Anolis sagrei: one gene and its partner. The protein of the gene in region 1 interacts with the protein of each later gene in a pairwise test. Links are inferred from orthologs where the notes say so. Each region holds a gene or a part of one and is shown in the gene's direction. Other genes may lie near its edges.

What was found.
Region 2: the proteins of ERG28 (region 1) and AQP2 interact in binary tests that used the Homo sapiens proteins (3 or more experiments, as listed by UniProt). The link is inferred for Anolis sagrei from reciprocal best matches to the Homo sapiens genes ERG28 and AQP2.

What each region holds. Positions count from the first base shown.
Region 1 is NC_090021.1:305,422,200-305,430,848, reverse strand, and holds the start of ERG28 (ergosterol biosynthetic protein 28 homolog), read left to right. Parts: upstream 1-3,664; 5' UTR 3,665-3,752; intron 3,753-5,103; 5' UTR 5,104-5,118; coding exon 5,119-5,251; intron 5,252-8,649.
Region 2 is NC_090022.1:135,995,789-136,004,437, reverse strand, and holds the start of AQP2 (aquaporin-2), read left to right. Parts: upstream 1-2,737; 5' UTR 2,738-2,771; coding exon 2,772-3,134; intron 3,135-8,649. UniProt on the Homo sapiens protein: Forms a water-specific channel that provides the plasma membranes of renal collecting duct with high permeability to water, thereby permitting water to move in the direction of an osmotic gradient. Plays an essential role in renal water homeostasis.

The sequences.
Region 1 (8,649 bases):
TTCATGCCTCTTCAAATTCTACAGCACTGCTGGTCACAGCTGACTCCAGTTGGAGCGCTCAAGGGCTGGAGCTTCTCAGTTCTCAGTGTCTATGCCAGAATTTTTAAGATTGGCTTTGAGCCCATCTTTAAATTTCTTTTCCTGCCCACCAACATTCCATTTTCTGTTCTTGAGTTCAGAGCAGAGCAACTGCTTTGGGAGATGGTGGTCAGGCATCCGGACAACATGGCCGGTCCAGCAGAGTTGATGGCGGAGGACCATTGCTTCGATGCTGGCAGGGATGTGAGGGCGATCTGGCTGCGACATCTGTCACCCCACTGATCGCCAGGGTTGATTCGGCTGATCTGGCTGGCTAGGCAGGTGTCCCCTTCCTCCCTCACCTCCATGTGCGTCCCTCCCGAAGCTGCGCGCTCGGTGGAAGAGGTCGACGTCCCAGGTATAGTGTACTGAGGTCTCCAGCCTTCGGTCCCGGGTTACAATGCTGGCAGTATTTGCTTCTTCCAACACGATGACATTTGTCCGCTTGTCTTCCCAAGAGATTTGCAGGATTTTCCGGAGGCAGCGCTGATGGAATCGTTCCAAGAGTTGCATGTGACTTCTGTAGACAGTCCATGTCTCGCAGGTGTATAGCAGGGTTGAGAAGACAATAACTTTATAAACAAGCACCTTGGTATCCCTACGGATGTCCCGGCCCTCAAACACTCTCTGCTTCATTCGGAAAAAAACCTGCACTCGCAGAGCTCAGGCGGTGTTGTATTTCAGTGTCAATGTTGACTTTTGTGGAGAGGTGGCTGCCAAGGTAGTGGAAATGATTAACATTTCCTACAGGCTGTTAGGAACTGTGGGAGCTGAAGTCCAAAACACCTGGAGAGACCAAGTGTGGTTATATCAGGCATGGGCAAACTTGGGCCCTCCAGGTGTTTTGGACTTCAACTCCCACAATTCCTACCAGCTCAGTTCTTGTGGGTTTTTTCGGGCTATATGGCCATGTTCTAGAGGCATTTCTCCTGACGTTTCGCCTGCATGTATGGCAAGCATCCTCAGAGGTGAGGTCTGCTGGAACTGGGGAAAAAAGGGGTTTATATATCTGTGGAATGACCAGGGTGAGACACAGGGCTTTTGTAAGTTTGGGCTAGGTGTGAATCTTTCAACTGACCACCTTGATTAGCATACAATGGGCTGACTGTGCCTGGAGCAAACTCTTCTTGAAAGGTGATTAGATGTCCCTGCCTGTTTTTCTCTCTTTTTTGGTGTTGCAATTTTAGAATTTTTTAATACTGGTAGCCTGATTTTGTTCATTTTCATGGTTTCTTCCTTTCTGTTGAAATTGTCCACATGTTTGTGGATTTCAATGGCTTCCCTGTGTAGTCTGGCATGGTGGATGTGAGAGTGGTCCAGCATTTTTGTGTTCTCAAATAATATGCTGTGTCCAGGCTGGTTCATCAGGTGCTCTGCTATAGCTGACTTCTCTGGTTGAAGTAGTCTGCAGTGCCTTTCATGTTCCTTGATGCGTGTCTGGGCGCTGCGTTTGGTGGTCCCTATGTAGACTTGTCCACAGCTGCATGGTATACGGTAGACTCCTGCAGAGGTGAGAGGATCCCTCTTGTCCTTTGCTGAACGTAGCATTTGTTGGATTTTCTTGGTGGGTTTGTATTATTTATTATTTATTTATTTCTTGCATTTATTGACCGCCCCTCTCAGCCCGAAGGCGACTCGGGGCGGTGAACAACAACAAAGAAGACAGTGTACAGTGAGATTTGTAGATTGTTTGTATGTTGTGTTTCCTCATCAGTTTCCCTATGCGGTCAGTGGTTCCCTTGATGTATGGCAGGAACACTTTTCCTACCGGCTGTTAGGAATTGTGGGAGTTGGAGTCCAATATACCTGGAGGGCCCACGTTTGCCCATGCCTGGGTTATACTGTGTTTTGTTTACATAATTTGAAATCTATGTTAAACACTTGATCTATGTTAAATCTATGTTAAACACGTGTTGGATGGGGCCGCACTCCCCCTGAAGATGCAGGTTCGCAGCTTGGGTATGACCCTGGACTCATCGCTGAGCCTGGAACCCCAGGTTTCGGCGGTGACCAGGGGAGCATTTGCACAGCTAAAGCTTGTGCGCCAGCTGCGCCCATACCTTGGGAAGTCTGACTTGGCCACAGTAGTCCACGCTCTGGTTACATCCCGTTTAGACTACTGCAACGCTCTCTACGTGGGGTTGCCTTTGAAGACAGCTCGGAAGCTCCAACTAGTCCAACACTCGGCAGCCATGATTTTAACAGGAGCGGAGCGCAGGGAGCATACAACCCCCCTGTTGCGCCAACTCCACTGGCTACCGATCTGCTACCGGGCTGAATTCAAAGTGCTGGCGTTGGCCTTTAAAGCCCTAAACGGTTCCGGCCCAAGCTACCTATCTGACCGCATCTCTGCCTATGAACCCACCAGGAGTTTGAGATCTTCCGGGGAGACCCTGCTCTCGATCCCGCCTGCTTCTCAAGCTTGGCTGGCGGGGACGAGAGATAGGGCCTTCTCGGTGGTGGCTCCTCGCCTGTGGAACGCCCTTCCTACGGACATTAGACTAGCACCATCTCTAATGGTATTCCGCAAAAAGGTGAAGACCTGGATGTTTGTGCAGGCGTTTGAGTAATTTAGTGCAATCTGGTAATGGAACATAGGAATGGAACAATGGACGACGAACCTGGACTACGCTTGGATGATGAGAAGATTGGGTACGGTTGTTTTTTGTAATAATTGTGCATTGTAATTGCTTATTGGTAATTTATGGATAATGTGTTAAGTCAATTGTTATATGTTGTATGGAACCACTGCTGTTTCTACTGTTTTTACTGTTTGTGAACCGCCGTGAGTCGCCTTCGGGCTTGAGATACAGCGGTATATAATCAAAGTAAATAAATAAATAATAAATAAACACTATAGATACTGAATCTAGCGTGGGGACTTGGGGATTCTGGGAGTTGTAGTCCAACCAAGTCGCTTCCCCCTCCCGCCCGTGTTGCCGTGTCCCTGAGCGGCCTCTCTCTTCTGGGCCAAAGCAGGCTGCTCCCCGTTCCCCCCTCAGGACAGGCCCAGGACCTTTGAGGGAGTAGGAGACACCGCCTGCTGCCCTCCTCCTGGGAGCCTCCCGAGGGTGAGTGCCCACTCTGCCGCTCCTGAAGCCCGTGGCGCCCTTACCTGCGGCTTCATCTCCCTGGAGGGCCCGGCAGCCGCGGCTCCTCTTGCCGGCGCTTCGCTCTGTTACTACAACAACCAACCAGCAACCGCCTTCCTCCCTCCCTCGCTCGCTCCCTCATCGAAGGCGCGTCTGCGCAAGCGCAGGCTCCTCACTCCCGCCCGAGGCGCTTTCCCCAGTTGCGCATGCGCACCTATCCAATCCCCCCTCATTCATTTCCACATGCCTCTTCCAATATGGCGCCGTCCAATATCCTTTTATAACCAGGAAGGGAGGGCAGTGGTGCAATTTGCCTCATCGAACCGCCCCTTCTGTGTTGACGTCACAACGGCCCAATCGCTTTCAAAATATTTGATTGACCTATCCGTTCAGCCATTCGCGTGGCGCGGGGCTAAGACTTGGAGTGGGAGGTGACAACCAATCAGGAGAACGACAACCCTGACAGCGGGCCAATCATTGCGCAGGCAGCGAAGGGGGCGTGGCTACAGCTCCTTGGGTTGGAGGTAGGGTGGAAAGCTTGCTGCCTCTGGGAACCAGGTAGACAACCTGTTAAAGAGCAAGGTAGGCATAGAGGTATTCCTTGATGGGGGGGCTGCATATGGAGGACTGCCCTGTGGATGGGTTGGTGTTATGAAGTTAGGGAACAGGTGGCAGGTAATATTAGAGTTGTCAAGAGAAAATGACATTTGACAAGGATGATGGACATCATGGTCGCTAGGTGTTTCCAGCATGCCAAAATGCAATATCTTTGTATTGGGATGTATTGCAATTTTTTAAAAAGTAAGTTTCCAGTGCATTATTGCTAAATATGCATCCTGTGGGTGCTCCTATATTAAAATTAAAATAGGAGACAGGCTATCAGGAACAGCAAAAAAAAAAAAAATCCACCTGCTTGCCTGATACTTTCCTTTTTTCTTAGTTATCTGGCCTCCCCTGTTATGCACTGAAAAATTGGTGTGTCTACATTATAGAATGAATGCAGTTTAAAACCACTTTAACTTCCATTGCTCAATGCATTGGTATCCTGAAAGGTGTAGTTTGGTTGAGATAACAGCATTCTTTGATAGAGATGAATGAAGACCTCATAAAACTACAACTCCCATGATTCTATAGCATTGAGCCATGAAAGTTAAAGTGCTGTCAAAGTGTATTAAGTCGAGAGAGTAGATGTATCCTACCTGAGTGCAGGGATAAAACAAATGAATTAGCAACATTGATGTGCAACTAGTCCTCTGTGTGCATTTTTGAATGTTGCTTCTGCTACGCCTCCCCCCAAATTAGGTCAGTACAGAAATGGTACCAGAGACAATTCAGTAACTAACCTCATGCCAATATCTCAGTAGATGAGATATAAGGTTTCTGTCTTTCAGCCTCATCACACCAGAGCATGGATCCACCTTAAATCCACCTCCTGCAGAATTCTGGGGTTTGTAGTTTAGTGAGGCCCAGGACGTGTCTGGCTGAACAGTGTAAAGCCCCCCCCCTAAACTACAAGTCCCAGAATTCTGCAGGAGGCAAAAACTGGATTTAAAGTGGATACATGCTCTAGTGTGATGAGGTCCTTTGTCTTTATTATGGAGCATGATCTTTTTAATTAGGTGATCCTTATAGAAAGTGGTGGATGTAACTGTGGTTTTCCCCCTCCAAAGGTCCATTCTGAAGGTGAACATTTGTGGTTCTCCAGATGTTGCTGCAATGCAATTCCCAGCTGTGATAACAACTTAAGCAATTGTAAGGAATGCTGGGAATTGCAGTTCTGCAACATCTGGGGAATTCAATGATTCCCACTCTTGGTCGACTGATCTAGGAGATAAGTATGCAAACATTTGGTGGAGGATAGTTAATGTGACTATGAATTATGATGCAGAGTGGTATCATGAACTCCAGAATCTGCCTTTGTTCCCCTGAGCAGGTTGTGTGATGCAAGATGAGCCGTTTCCTGAATGTGCTCCGTAGCTGGCTAGTTATGGTGTCCATCATTGCCATGGGGAACACAGTGCAAAGCTTCAGAGATCACAGCTTTCTCTCTGAGAAGCTGTACACAGGCAAGCCAAACCTTGGTAAGATATTCAGGAAGGCTATTTTCTTTTTTTCTTTTTTTACACATGGGAAATACTCAACTTTTAGCCTTAAGATCTATATTTTGTTTGAGGTTTGGAAATGCTTGTTCATATATCATATTTTTTTTAATTTTTAAACATTTACTCCTTGAAGTAGCTCACAGTGTTTTTTCTTTAAAAGTTTAAAAGCCTTTAAAGATATTGCAGCAGCTTTCAGATAAATAGGTACGTAATTTAGTAGCTTCCCAGTTAACCAGAAACCACAGGGATTGGCAGCTGCCAGATAAATATAGTTTTTTATTCCTTGAGAATTATTATTCAAAATAGGCCTAACTGATACTATATCCCTAGTTGTGCCAAGCCATACCATAAACTTTGTATTGATTTGATATTAATATTCAAATGCAGAAATTAAAATTAAAACAGTAAAGACAAACTTAACGTAACACAGTTTTAGTATTTTACTATATTATAAAAACAGCTTTTTACATTTGATGTTTTAGTTTTTTGACTTTTTTTTTGCCAGTTGCTTGAGAGTTCCAGTTGCTTGGCTTCAGATTGACTGAGAGACTACTGAAGGCATGGGCAAACTTTCTAACTTGGGGGCCACATGGTGGGCCAGGAGGAAGGGGGTTCTCCCCAAGTCCCCTTCCTGCCCTTTCCTCCCCTTCCTCTTCTCTTTCAAAGGCAGAAAGTGAAGGAAAGACAGGAAACGTTTGGATCCCAAAAGGGTTGGTCTTGGTCAGGATGAGATGGTGGACTGGAGAGAAAAAGTATATACATTCGACCCCGTATTGCCTACTCCTGATATAGAATCCAAGCACTGAAAGAGACCCCCAAGGGCCATCCAGTCCATCCCCCTGCCATGCAGGAAGGCACAATCAAAGCACTCCCAATAGACAACCCTTGTGTAAAAGCCTCCAGAGAAGGAGACTCCACCACACTCAGAGGCAGCCTATGCTACTCTCCAACAGCTCTTACTCTTAGGAAGTTCTTTTCAGTCAAATATCTTTCCCTGCCATTTTAAACCATTGCTCCCTTGTGTCCTGGTCTCTAGAGCAGTAGAAAATCAGTTTTCCCCTCCTCCTCAATCTTGAAACATGGCTCTTGTGTTCTCTCTCTATTATAATAATAAGACTGTATTTATAACCTGCCCTATTTCCCCAAGGGGATTCTACCTTCTCTCCTCTCAGCTAAACATCCCCCAGGAGGAAAGGAGGAAGGAACAAGAAAAGGAAAAAAGATAGGAAGAGAAAGATGGAAGGAAGGGTGGAAGGGAATGGAGGGAAACGGGGGGAGGAGAGAAGGAAAGACAAAAGAGAAAGGAGAAAGGGAGAGAGGGGGGGAGGAAAGAGAGAAGGAAGGAAGGACAAAAGGGTGGAAGGTACTAGGGAGAGGGAGAAAGGGAAGGGAGGGAGGAGAGAAGGAAGGAAAGACAAAGGAGAAGGAAGATAGGAGAAAGGAGGAGAGAGAAGGAGGGAGGGAGGAAAGAAAGAAAGGAGGAAGGAAAGACGAAAGGGTGGAAGGAAAGGAAGAAGGGAGAAAGAGAGAGGGGTGGAGGAAAGAAAGAGGGAAGGAAGGAAGGATATGACCTGGGTTTGCCTATTCATGGTCTACTGTGTTAATATGTGGTATAGAGAAATCTTGTGGTTGCATTTTTCATGGACTCCAGACCACTTTTTCAAACATTGAAATAAGTTAGTCTTACAGGTCCCACAAGATTCCTCCCTTTCCATGACACACATCTTTCAGTTCCGGCTGAATCACTATGAACTACGTCCAGTTGTTAATCCTAGCAAATGTAGACATAATGAATGAATGCGAATTTGGGGAGTCAATACTTATGTGAGATCATTGATTCCACAAGGCTACATTAGTTGGAGCAAACAATTGAATTCAGACCTATGTCAGACCTATGTCTACCTCTACTCACTAATGTAGAAGGCAGAAGCATATTTTCAACGTTATAAATTAGGTGAAGAACAGGCCCCTTGGAGCTGTCCAAAACATGTACAGTGTTCCCTCGCTACTTTGCGGTTCGCTTTTCGCAAACTTCGCTGTTTCACGGTTTTTTGCCCCCAGTTTATGAATGTTTGCCGTTGCCCAGAGTGGCATTCTAATCCCACCTCCTGGCAACGATGGAGTGTGGAAGGGGGTTTCACCCTCCCCCTCAGGAGAGAGGCAGCTAATCAAGAGAGATTGCAAAGCAAAGCAAAGATAGCTAGCAAAAAAAGGTGTGCGGTACCTTTAAATCTCTCCTCACTTCTGCCTCACCCTCGGAATGTGGTATAAATATATAGCATCCCTACATTGTGGATTTTCACTTATCACGGGTGGTCCTGGAATGTAACACCCGCAATAAGTGAGGGAACACTGTATATATGTATAATGGAAAAATGTGTGTATCCAGCTCAGATCTGTATAATGTTGCATAATCCCTACGAAGAGGAAGCTATTTTATACTGAGTCAAATTTATTCCCTCTAGTTATATTTTTTCCATTACAGATAGTGACTCGGACATACTTACTTGTTTTATGCTCAGAGTGGTGTATTCTGCTCCAATCGACAATCACCTCCACAACAATCCATTGTTTGGATTCCAGAAGACACTGTTTGTAGGAATATCAGGTTCTGGAAAGCTGTGTTAGAGCTCTTTCCCCCACGAGAAAGAGAATCACCAGCTCTGCTATTTCCATGGAATAACCTGTCTCCCTAATTTATGTAACAAGCTCACTCACTCTCTCATTATATGTGTAGCTTTACTTCCAGTTAATTAAGTCTGTGTACTCCTTTATGCACTTGGGAGGTGGCTATATTAGGCAGTCCTCTCCATTTCTGTAATGAATGCATATGAGCAGTCTTCAGTGCTAAACCAGTATATGTGTCTTTTGGAAAACTGATATATATGTGAATCCCCCCATTAGAATAATCTGCTTCCCTTGCAAATAAAATCCCTATCTGTGCACACCATTTTCCCCTACTTAGTCTCACTTCTGTTTGCATGTATACACATTAGTACACATTAAGGCCACGTGTACGGTATATTAGAAAGTCCAGCAACAAACTTCTGAATTCTGCCTATGAGCCAAGAATCTTTGGGGCGATAACCTTTTCCCTTTGACCTCTTGCATTTCTGTATTTACAAGTATTGTATTAGCTAGAGTCTGTCCATTCCCGCATAGCAAAAAAAACCAAGCTATAACAGATTACTACTATGAATTTTGCCATGACACTGAATTTATAAGGCAGAAGATTTTGTCATTCTTGTATTTGTTTCCAGCACTGGAGCCAACCACGGCACTTTTTGCAGGTTCTGTTTTTCATACAATGTGGACATTTTTTTCTGTTTGGAAACAGCCAATTATATTTCCCCCTTCTTAGACATCTAATATCAGCC
Region 2 (8,649 bases), on another chromosome or scaffold:
TACTGAAACAGAAAAGAAAATTCCCTGGGCTATGACGACTTCCTGGTGATATCCTCTGGATCAGTCCTCTCGATCCCTCCCCCCTTGCCAGTGAGGCTGATGGGGACCAGGGAGAGGGTCTTCTCAGTAGTAGTCCCCTGGCTCTGGAACAGAGAGATTAGAAAAACAATCATCTTATGACATTTAGGAGGGATTTGAAGACAAGGCTGTTTAAATAGTCTTTTGGCAATGATTAGTCAACACTTTTAATGTGGACAAGGCCTTTGTTTTGGATAGTAGGGTCCTTTTAACTCATAGGAATGGCTATGTTTTTAACTAATGTGTTATAATGTCTTATTTTTCATTTTGTTGACTTGTGTTATGGTTTATCTAGCTTGTTTTTATAGTGATTTGATGTGTTATTATTTGTTTATTTTTATGTAACTTATTGTATTTTTCATGTTGTGAGCCACCATGAGTCCTGCAGGGAGATGGGCAGAGTACAAATGAAGTTGTTGTTGTTGTTGTTGTTGTTGTTGTTGTTGTTGTTGTTGTTGTTAGGATTTCAGATTTGGTGGAGGGGTAAGTCAAGAGGTAGGTGTTAGATTAACAGAGGAAAAATTCCAAGGCAAAATTCAGATTCTGGAAAAAGAATGTGGCACAGTTTAAAGGCCAACCACAAGTTGCCATTTACAACAACTGAAAATCACAATGGCTAGAAACAAGGAAGAAGCTGATTGGCCAGTGGCAGAATCCTGAAATTAAGTTTTGAGGAACAGAGCCAAAGCTTAGCCTGGACACGATTCTTTTTCTAATTTAATCAAAGCACTCAGACTAAAGATCAAATTCTGGGGCAGGATTAAAAACCTGGGTGGATTATGGTAGTGGAAGAGGCAGATTGACCTCAGAGTCAATAGACTCTGAAAATTCAGGTATCTATTTGTGGTTTTATTGTAGCCTAAATGACACCTTCAAGAAGCCTAGACCAGTCTATCTTGTTGCCTGGCAAAAAAATTAAACAGGCAGTAAGATAGGAAGCTACAAGCTCATAAATTATTTTATTGAACAGTACTACTTCAACATGCTCCAGTTTCCCAACATCCTATGTATAACCTCAGTTGTCTCCGCTAAACTTCTGCCCATCACCTATTATTGACAAGATGTCTAATAATACTGGCCTGCCTTACAGACACATCATAAAGTTTGCTCAGATATGGTATCTAGAACCAGCTCAGAATTAAATTATTGTGTAAGTTATTGATTTATTAAATGAAAAATAGTCCTAAAGTGAGATTTGAAAACATTTTCAACGTTTCTCTCTACTCAAGAACGAATTCCCTTGGATTTTTTTTTCTTTTTGCAAAGCATTCCTTTCTTTATATGAGTCCATCAAGTCTAGTGAATTATAATCTCACGTGATTCAAACTGCATACCCAAAAGTAGTTAAAGTGGATGAATGACATGAAGGCAGTGGTGGAAATCATGTGGCCCTGCATGTTTTTGAAGCAGAAGAAGCCAATAAGGGGGAAATGTTATGGTATCCATAATTCTCACTCCTGTGTTATGGGTCGTTGGAGTTAGCAGTCCTAGTAATGGATAAAGTGTACCCATGCCAACTTGAGAGAGGTAGAGGAAAGGTGGGTTATAACTGTAAACAAAAGCATTATCTTTTCTCCAAAGGATTTTTTTACACAAAGCAGCTGACACAGGATTCCAGTGCAATAATGTCTGAATGACAAATAGATATCCAATTGAAAAGTCTTATGTGCATGACTAATTATTAATTTCACTATCAGATTATTGTAATAAAGGCAAATATCTGGAGGAATCCTTGTTTATTATAATTCACAATTGGAATATGACAGTTGAGTTAAATCCAAGGTTAGAAGATTTACAACTAATATATTAAGGGTCTCTTGGATGTGAATCTGGCATTCTTTGAATGCAGATGGTTTTCTGTATTCTAGAGGCTAATCATTTATCTCTGGAACTTGAATTTTGAAGCCCCTAGTCCTGGTATGTTGACTGAGTCCCACATGATAATCTGTAAAATAAATAAAGTGTTTAAGGGCCCTTGACAAAGATTTTTATAATGCCCCCTAACCAATCTAGCAGCCACCAGTGTCATGGGACACTCCATTGTGGGAAAGCTAAAATGACAGCTCTCAAGTGATGAAATCAATGAAACACTGTGTTCCCATCAGAAACAGATTGATGGAAGGAGGTCAGTAGGTCAGCAAATGCCCAATTGGTGGTGTAATGCCAAACAGGGCATGCTGAGGCATGTGCACCCATACACCTGCTCCAGAAGGCTCAAAACTAAGCATAAAATGAGTAAATGGAAACACTTGCTAAATGCACAAACATAAAATAGACAAGGACAAATCTGAAAAAATGGCTAAGTTCATCAGATCATGATGGTGGAGTGGTGTTGGAGGTCTGCATCTCAGTATACGGACTGGTGTTTGACTCACTTAGGACTACTACATGCACACAGTAGTTCAGTATTGGAAAGTCAAATGCTAATTTTTCAAGTTATGAGAGAAGAAGGCAGGGTCTGAAAACTCTTCAGCTAGAACAGGAAAGAAAAGGCATTATGTATCCAAACCCCACCTCCTCTTGGAGATCTCTAGCTATTCTGCATGCATATATATTATGCATAAGCATATGTAGTACATACAAGGAAGGAGAAATTGAAAAACTCCAGTATCCTTCCAGGATCTACTATTATTTATTACCACAGAGAAGTGAGCTGAGAGATCAGCTTCCACTCTCCTACACAGCCCTCACCAATGATGTGGGAACTTCGCTCCGTGGCTTTCACTCGTGCAGTCTTTGCAGAATTCATAGCCACGCTGATTTTTATCTTTTTTGGCCTTGGCTCGGCTTTGAACTGGCCTTCATCCCCACCAAATGTCCTCCAGATTTCACTGGCCTTTGGCTTGGCTATTGCAACCTTGGTCCAGACCTTGGGCCACATCAGTGGAGCCCATATTAACCCTGCTGTGACTGTGGCATGTCTGGTGGGCTCTCAGGTCTCCTTCTTGAGAGCAGTCTTCTATGTGGTGGCACAGATTCTGGGAGCAGTGACAGGAGCTGCCCTCTTGCATCAACTCACACCGCCCCATATCCGAGGGAACTTGGCCATCAACAGGGTAAGGAAACTAACTATCCACAGAAGTGGGAGGGATGAAGGACTATGGTGGTGGGATGTTCAAAATACCCTCTAGTAAATTAAAGACGATTCTTCACACAGCTTAATTTTAAAAGAAAGCAAGGATACTAATTTTCCCCTTGGTTTCCATGGAAGTTTAATCCTGATAGTCATAAAAATGATGGAGAAATAAGCCTCTAGAGTTTCCCCTAAGAGGACCCCCAATTTAAGCACCATGGGTGTGTCACACTCTCTCAGCCTCAGAGAATTGGGAAATAATTTACTATCAGGATTAAACTTACTACACCTGTAGGGCACATTTATAGCTGTAAGCTTGCCATATTTCAGAATGTTTCACTTATCCATTTTTTTTTGGAAATTTTTAAAAGTTTTTACAAATATTTTTTTAAAAAAACAAAACCAAAAAGAGGTATTTTTAAAAATTTCCCATTTTTATATATACATACTTTGTCCTTTTTTTTTGCTTTACTTCTATCTCCTTGCTTTCCCATTTTTCTTCAAAATACTATGTTCCCCCACTTTACTTGGAAACTATATGTCATTCTTTATAGCAAATAAAAAATTATTTCAACAAAAATTACTCACAGTGACAGAAAATGAGTAGGGCATCAATCCTGCAAAGTTTTAAAAACATGTGGCCATCCATTGATTTTTAGGATTTTTTTAAAAAAAATCGCTCTCTCAGACTGAGAGGAGGGGACACCTTGCACGAAAAAAAACCCAGGGAATTCTTGGACTTGAAGTCCAGGACAATGGAGAGTAAAACAAGCCTGAGAGTAGCTGAGTCAGACCATGTGATGCAACACATATGTCTGCACTCAGACCCATTGCTCCAACTGAGAGATAATGCTGCTTCAGCTATTGAAGAAAATCCTTAAAAGTCAGTGGATGACCAGATCTTTCTGAAACTTTCCTGGAATGATGTCCTACTCATATTCCGTCACTATGGGTAAATTTAAAAAAAATCTTCTGGGTTTTTTTAAAAATGGTATTTGTAAAAAATTTTTTTTCAAAACATCAGTGAACGAGCGAAACATCCTGAAACATTTCATGCCCTACAAATGTGCAATGTTTAATCCTCATAGCCATAAAAATGATCGAGAAATTAGCCTCTAAAATTTTCCCATTGGTGCCAATGGACCAAATCTTATAAAAATGAAAACGGAACTCAGGGTTCCAGATTACGAATCCGAATGGCCCCCTCCTAATCTCCTGGAATTTTCATGAAAACAGAATTGGGGGAACACATTCAAAACAAAAACAGAACAGATTTCCTCTGTTTTGCATTCCCGAAATACTTTCTATCACATGTTCTCCAAAATTCTCAGTCAGATATCATTCATTTCCCAGTCCTGCTCTCTACCTGGGAAACTTTTGATTGGAAAGGGAAGAAAGTAGGGAAGAAACCTGAAATCCTTTGACTTCAAAGATCAACAGTACCACTAAACCTGGGCAATCTAAGCAGACTTAGTTTTTGGTATCAGAACATTAGTTTTTGCAGTGTGTTACTTTCACATATAGATCTAATTCCTGCCCCAAAATATTTTGCATTTACCATATTAATTGAGGGGGGGGGGTTCAATGTGGTGAAATCACAAGGTGATGAAAATTCTTACCAATTGATCCCCATCTACCTCATTCATAGTGTTTCCCTTGCCGCCCTTTCCTGGGACCTTCTGAAAGATCTTCTCTGTGTATGTAGAGTTCTGCTCTCTTCGTACTACAATATGAGTTATAGTGGCAATTGATGATTTTCATGTCAGCACTATGGGTCTGAACTGTCCAAAGTGCTGAACCACATGCCACAAACAGTTCCATCATTTTGGATCATTCCTTTAAGATTTAAACTAAAACCTGAGCCTGGTTCACCACTCCCTTTATGTGGAAACCACTAACAACCAATGAGTAAATGCATTTAAGTAATTTCTACCTCACAGATGTCATCTTTAACAACTGAGGAGCAAGCAGAGAGCCCTTTCACACCACATAGTTAGAGGTTTTTCCTATTAAATTTCCATGGCTGCATCCTACAGAATTTTTGGGACTTGTGGTTTAACCAGAAGCATCAGAAGGGCTCCCTGGCTGAGGGGTCTCAACTGCAAATCATAGGACACTGGGTGGAGCTTTGTCATTTAAGATGGAATCTTTATGGTATATTTTGTAGTGTGGAAGGGCACATAGAAATGCTGCAAGTGCCATTTTCTCCATTCTTCTATATCTGTATTGGGGAAATTTTAATAACTGCATATTTCTAGATTGCTTTGAATGTGTGGAAGACACTAAAGTCAGGACATGAAAACAAAGGTGGTGGGATCTCTTACTCAATTTCAAGAGATAACTCAGTCTCTTGAAATTTTCTTGAACTTTGTGACATTCTCTCCCACAATTTTGGCAGCAACCTCATTTTGAATAATTGGAACAGGGTTGGTTTAGGATTTAAAATAAACCTGTTTTCCATGCTATTTATCAACTTGCATGCTAAATCCAGGCTGCTAGGCATCTGTGCTGGCAGGAAATATCGTTTTTGTACAATTGCTGCCTTTTCAGTCCTATAATGCTCTTTGAGCCTTTCCAGACAGGCTCTATACCCCAAGATCTGATCCCAGGTTTTCTGCTTTAAACTGGATTATATGTGTCCTCACTGCCAGATAATCTGAGATAAAAAGAAAACCTGAGATCAGATCCTGGAATATAGGGCCTGTCTGGAAGGGCCCTTTGAAAGTTGCTTCTGATAACTACCCTTCTTGGAGTGTCATGAATGCTCATTTTCCACTTTCACCAGATCTGAAAACCTAGCATCAGTCAGTACCAAAGGCAGCCCAAATACCTTGATGACCATGGTTGGAATATTATTGATCTACAGTAGCAGAACTATGGTGGTACAGGTAGTGGCAGCAGAGGAGAGAAAGACTACAGTTGCGATAGCTATGAAGGAAGCAGTCATGTGAGAAATAAAATGCCAGAAAACTATGTATGCACATCCAATCATATGTCTTGATGGGTGTTCTAAAGGGTGGATGGAGGCCACTCACAATTTTGCAACCAATTTACAACTTCTAATTACATTTTGATTTCTTTTAATGTTGTGTAGGATGTCGCTATGAGCCATTGGGTAACAGCACCATTTGCAATATCACTAGCCTTGTAGCAATAACAAAGATTTTTATCTCTTGACGCACTTGCTCAGCTGGACAAAATAAAACATACATAAATACAGAACTTGTGAATACCCAAATTGTCAGATTCTTGATATAGTCACGCTTGGCTTGTAAGCAGATATGGCTTCATGCTTCAGGACTGCATAACAAGCAACCCACCAAGCTGAACACAATTCAGCAGCACAGTATCATAGCCTATAAAGTGCTACTGAACACCCCTGTTTTTGTGTCACCCCAAGCAAGCAGCAAAAAGTAATATCCAGAGCTTTTGATGGGCGGCCATTCACACATGCTTGAATGTACCTTGTGGGTGGGGAAATCAACTGAAAAGTATATTATAATTTATTAGCATGTGTCAGGACTTTAGCTGTAACTCATAAGATAACACTTTGTGGTGATGCAATGGGTTAAACCCTTGTGCCGGCAGGACTGAAGACTGACAGGTTGGAGGTTCAAATCCAGGGAGAGCATGGATGAGCTCCCACTGTCAGCTCCAGCTTCCCATACGGGGATATGAGAGAAGCCTCTCACAAGGATGGTAAAACATCAAAACATCCGTGTGCCCCCTGGGCAATATACTTGCAGATGGCCAATTCTCTCACACCAGAAGTGACTTGCATTTTCTCAAGTCATTACTGACATGAAACAAACTTAAATATTGTTGCTGTTTGTTGGAGAAGCTACTTGATGACTTTGTTGTTTTGTGCCTTCAAGACATTTCTGACTTATGGTAATCCTAAAGTAAACCTGTCATGGGGATTTCTTGGTGAGATTTGTTCAGACTCTGAACTTCAGAGGGAGACTGCATTTGCCTTCTTCTGAGGTTAAGAGAATGTGACTTGCCCAAGAACACCCAAGTTCTGTGAGGAGAAGCTGAGGGAGCTAGGTATGTTTTATCTGGAAAATAGAAGGCCAAGAAATGACTCAATATTCAATCCATGTTAAAACACAAATACAGTCAGCCGCAGATGGTAGCCTGCAAATGAGCAATTAACCTCTTTTTTCCCTGCTTGCTTGACAAAGAATAAAAACAGGTTTTCCAGCAGTTGATCATTCAGGGTACCTAGCTGGTGAGTTGTGTTCAGCTTGGCAGATCCCAGATTATGCAGATACAATTTACAGCCATATCAACTTGCAAGCCAGGCAGGCTATATCAAAAAATCTGATCATTCAAATATTTGAAAGTTCAGCATTCAAGCATATTTTATTGCATCCAGTAGTACAAATGCGTCACAGGTTTAAACTCTCATGAACACTTCAATGCCACTGGTGGTATGCAGTGTAGAATATTTACCCACTGGGCACCAAGCCTTCCAAAGTGAATCAGATTGCAGCAAAGTTGCAAAAGAGGCAAATAATTGAGATATTATCTCTGTGCCCATTCAACTCTCCTTCTTCCTTTATCAAGTATATAGCTATAGAATTACAGTGCCAAAGAGAAGGTAAAGGTTCACACAAATACAAGGTAATATTTTTTACCTTACTATACTGCCTTTTTTTTAACTTAATAGGATTGCTGAATCAAAAATAGACACAATATTCTACAGGCATTTTAAGTGACACTGAAAATTTCAGCCTTTTGTATAAACTTTGCAAAAATGTTCATATATTTGCTCACATTTAAAAATTGCATCCTGTGACATCCCTACTTGGCCAAATATAATGGCTATAGAATGGTGTACCATCTTTCCCTTTACTGTCTGAACACTTTTATTGGCACAACCCATAAATCACCCATGTGACTAGTCCAGGAATATGAAGCAGCAAGGTACAGTGGACAGGGTAGCAAGGAAAAGTAGCAAGCAAGAAAAATTATAGTACAAAACAGGACTGTTAAAGAAAATTGATATTATGCATTCCAAGCTTTATTTCTTAGGGAGTGGTTTATTTTGTGTCCAATTAACTTCTTCCAAAATGTAAAACTGGATAACATGAAACACAATTTAGGTTTAAATCCCATTTGGTCCTGAAGTGTCAGACTGGTCAAAACATTTCTTCTATGCCATTCAGCACTGCAATCATCCTATAAAGTGCACCCCTATAAAGTGTACCTCACAAACTCTGAAGATGCTTGCCACAGATGCAGGTGAAACGTCAGGAGAGAATGCTTCTAGAACATGATCATACAGCCCGAAAAACCTACAACAACCCACTGTGCCCATTTTATGTCCTTTTATATACTGAAAAAAAGAGTTAATATTGCACTTTACACTGCTTTAATTTTTTTCTTTTTAAATGCATTTTTCTTCTTTTTGTGAATTTTTATGTTGCATTTTGCACATTTGAAGTATTCATTATATAAACAGTAGTGCAGACATTACAACTAACCCAATTAGC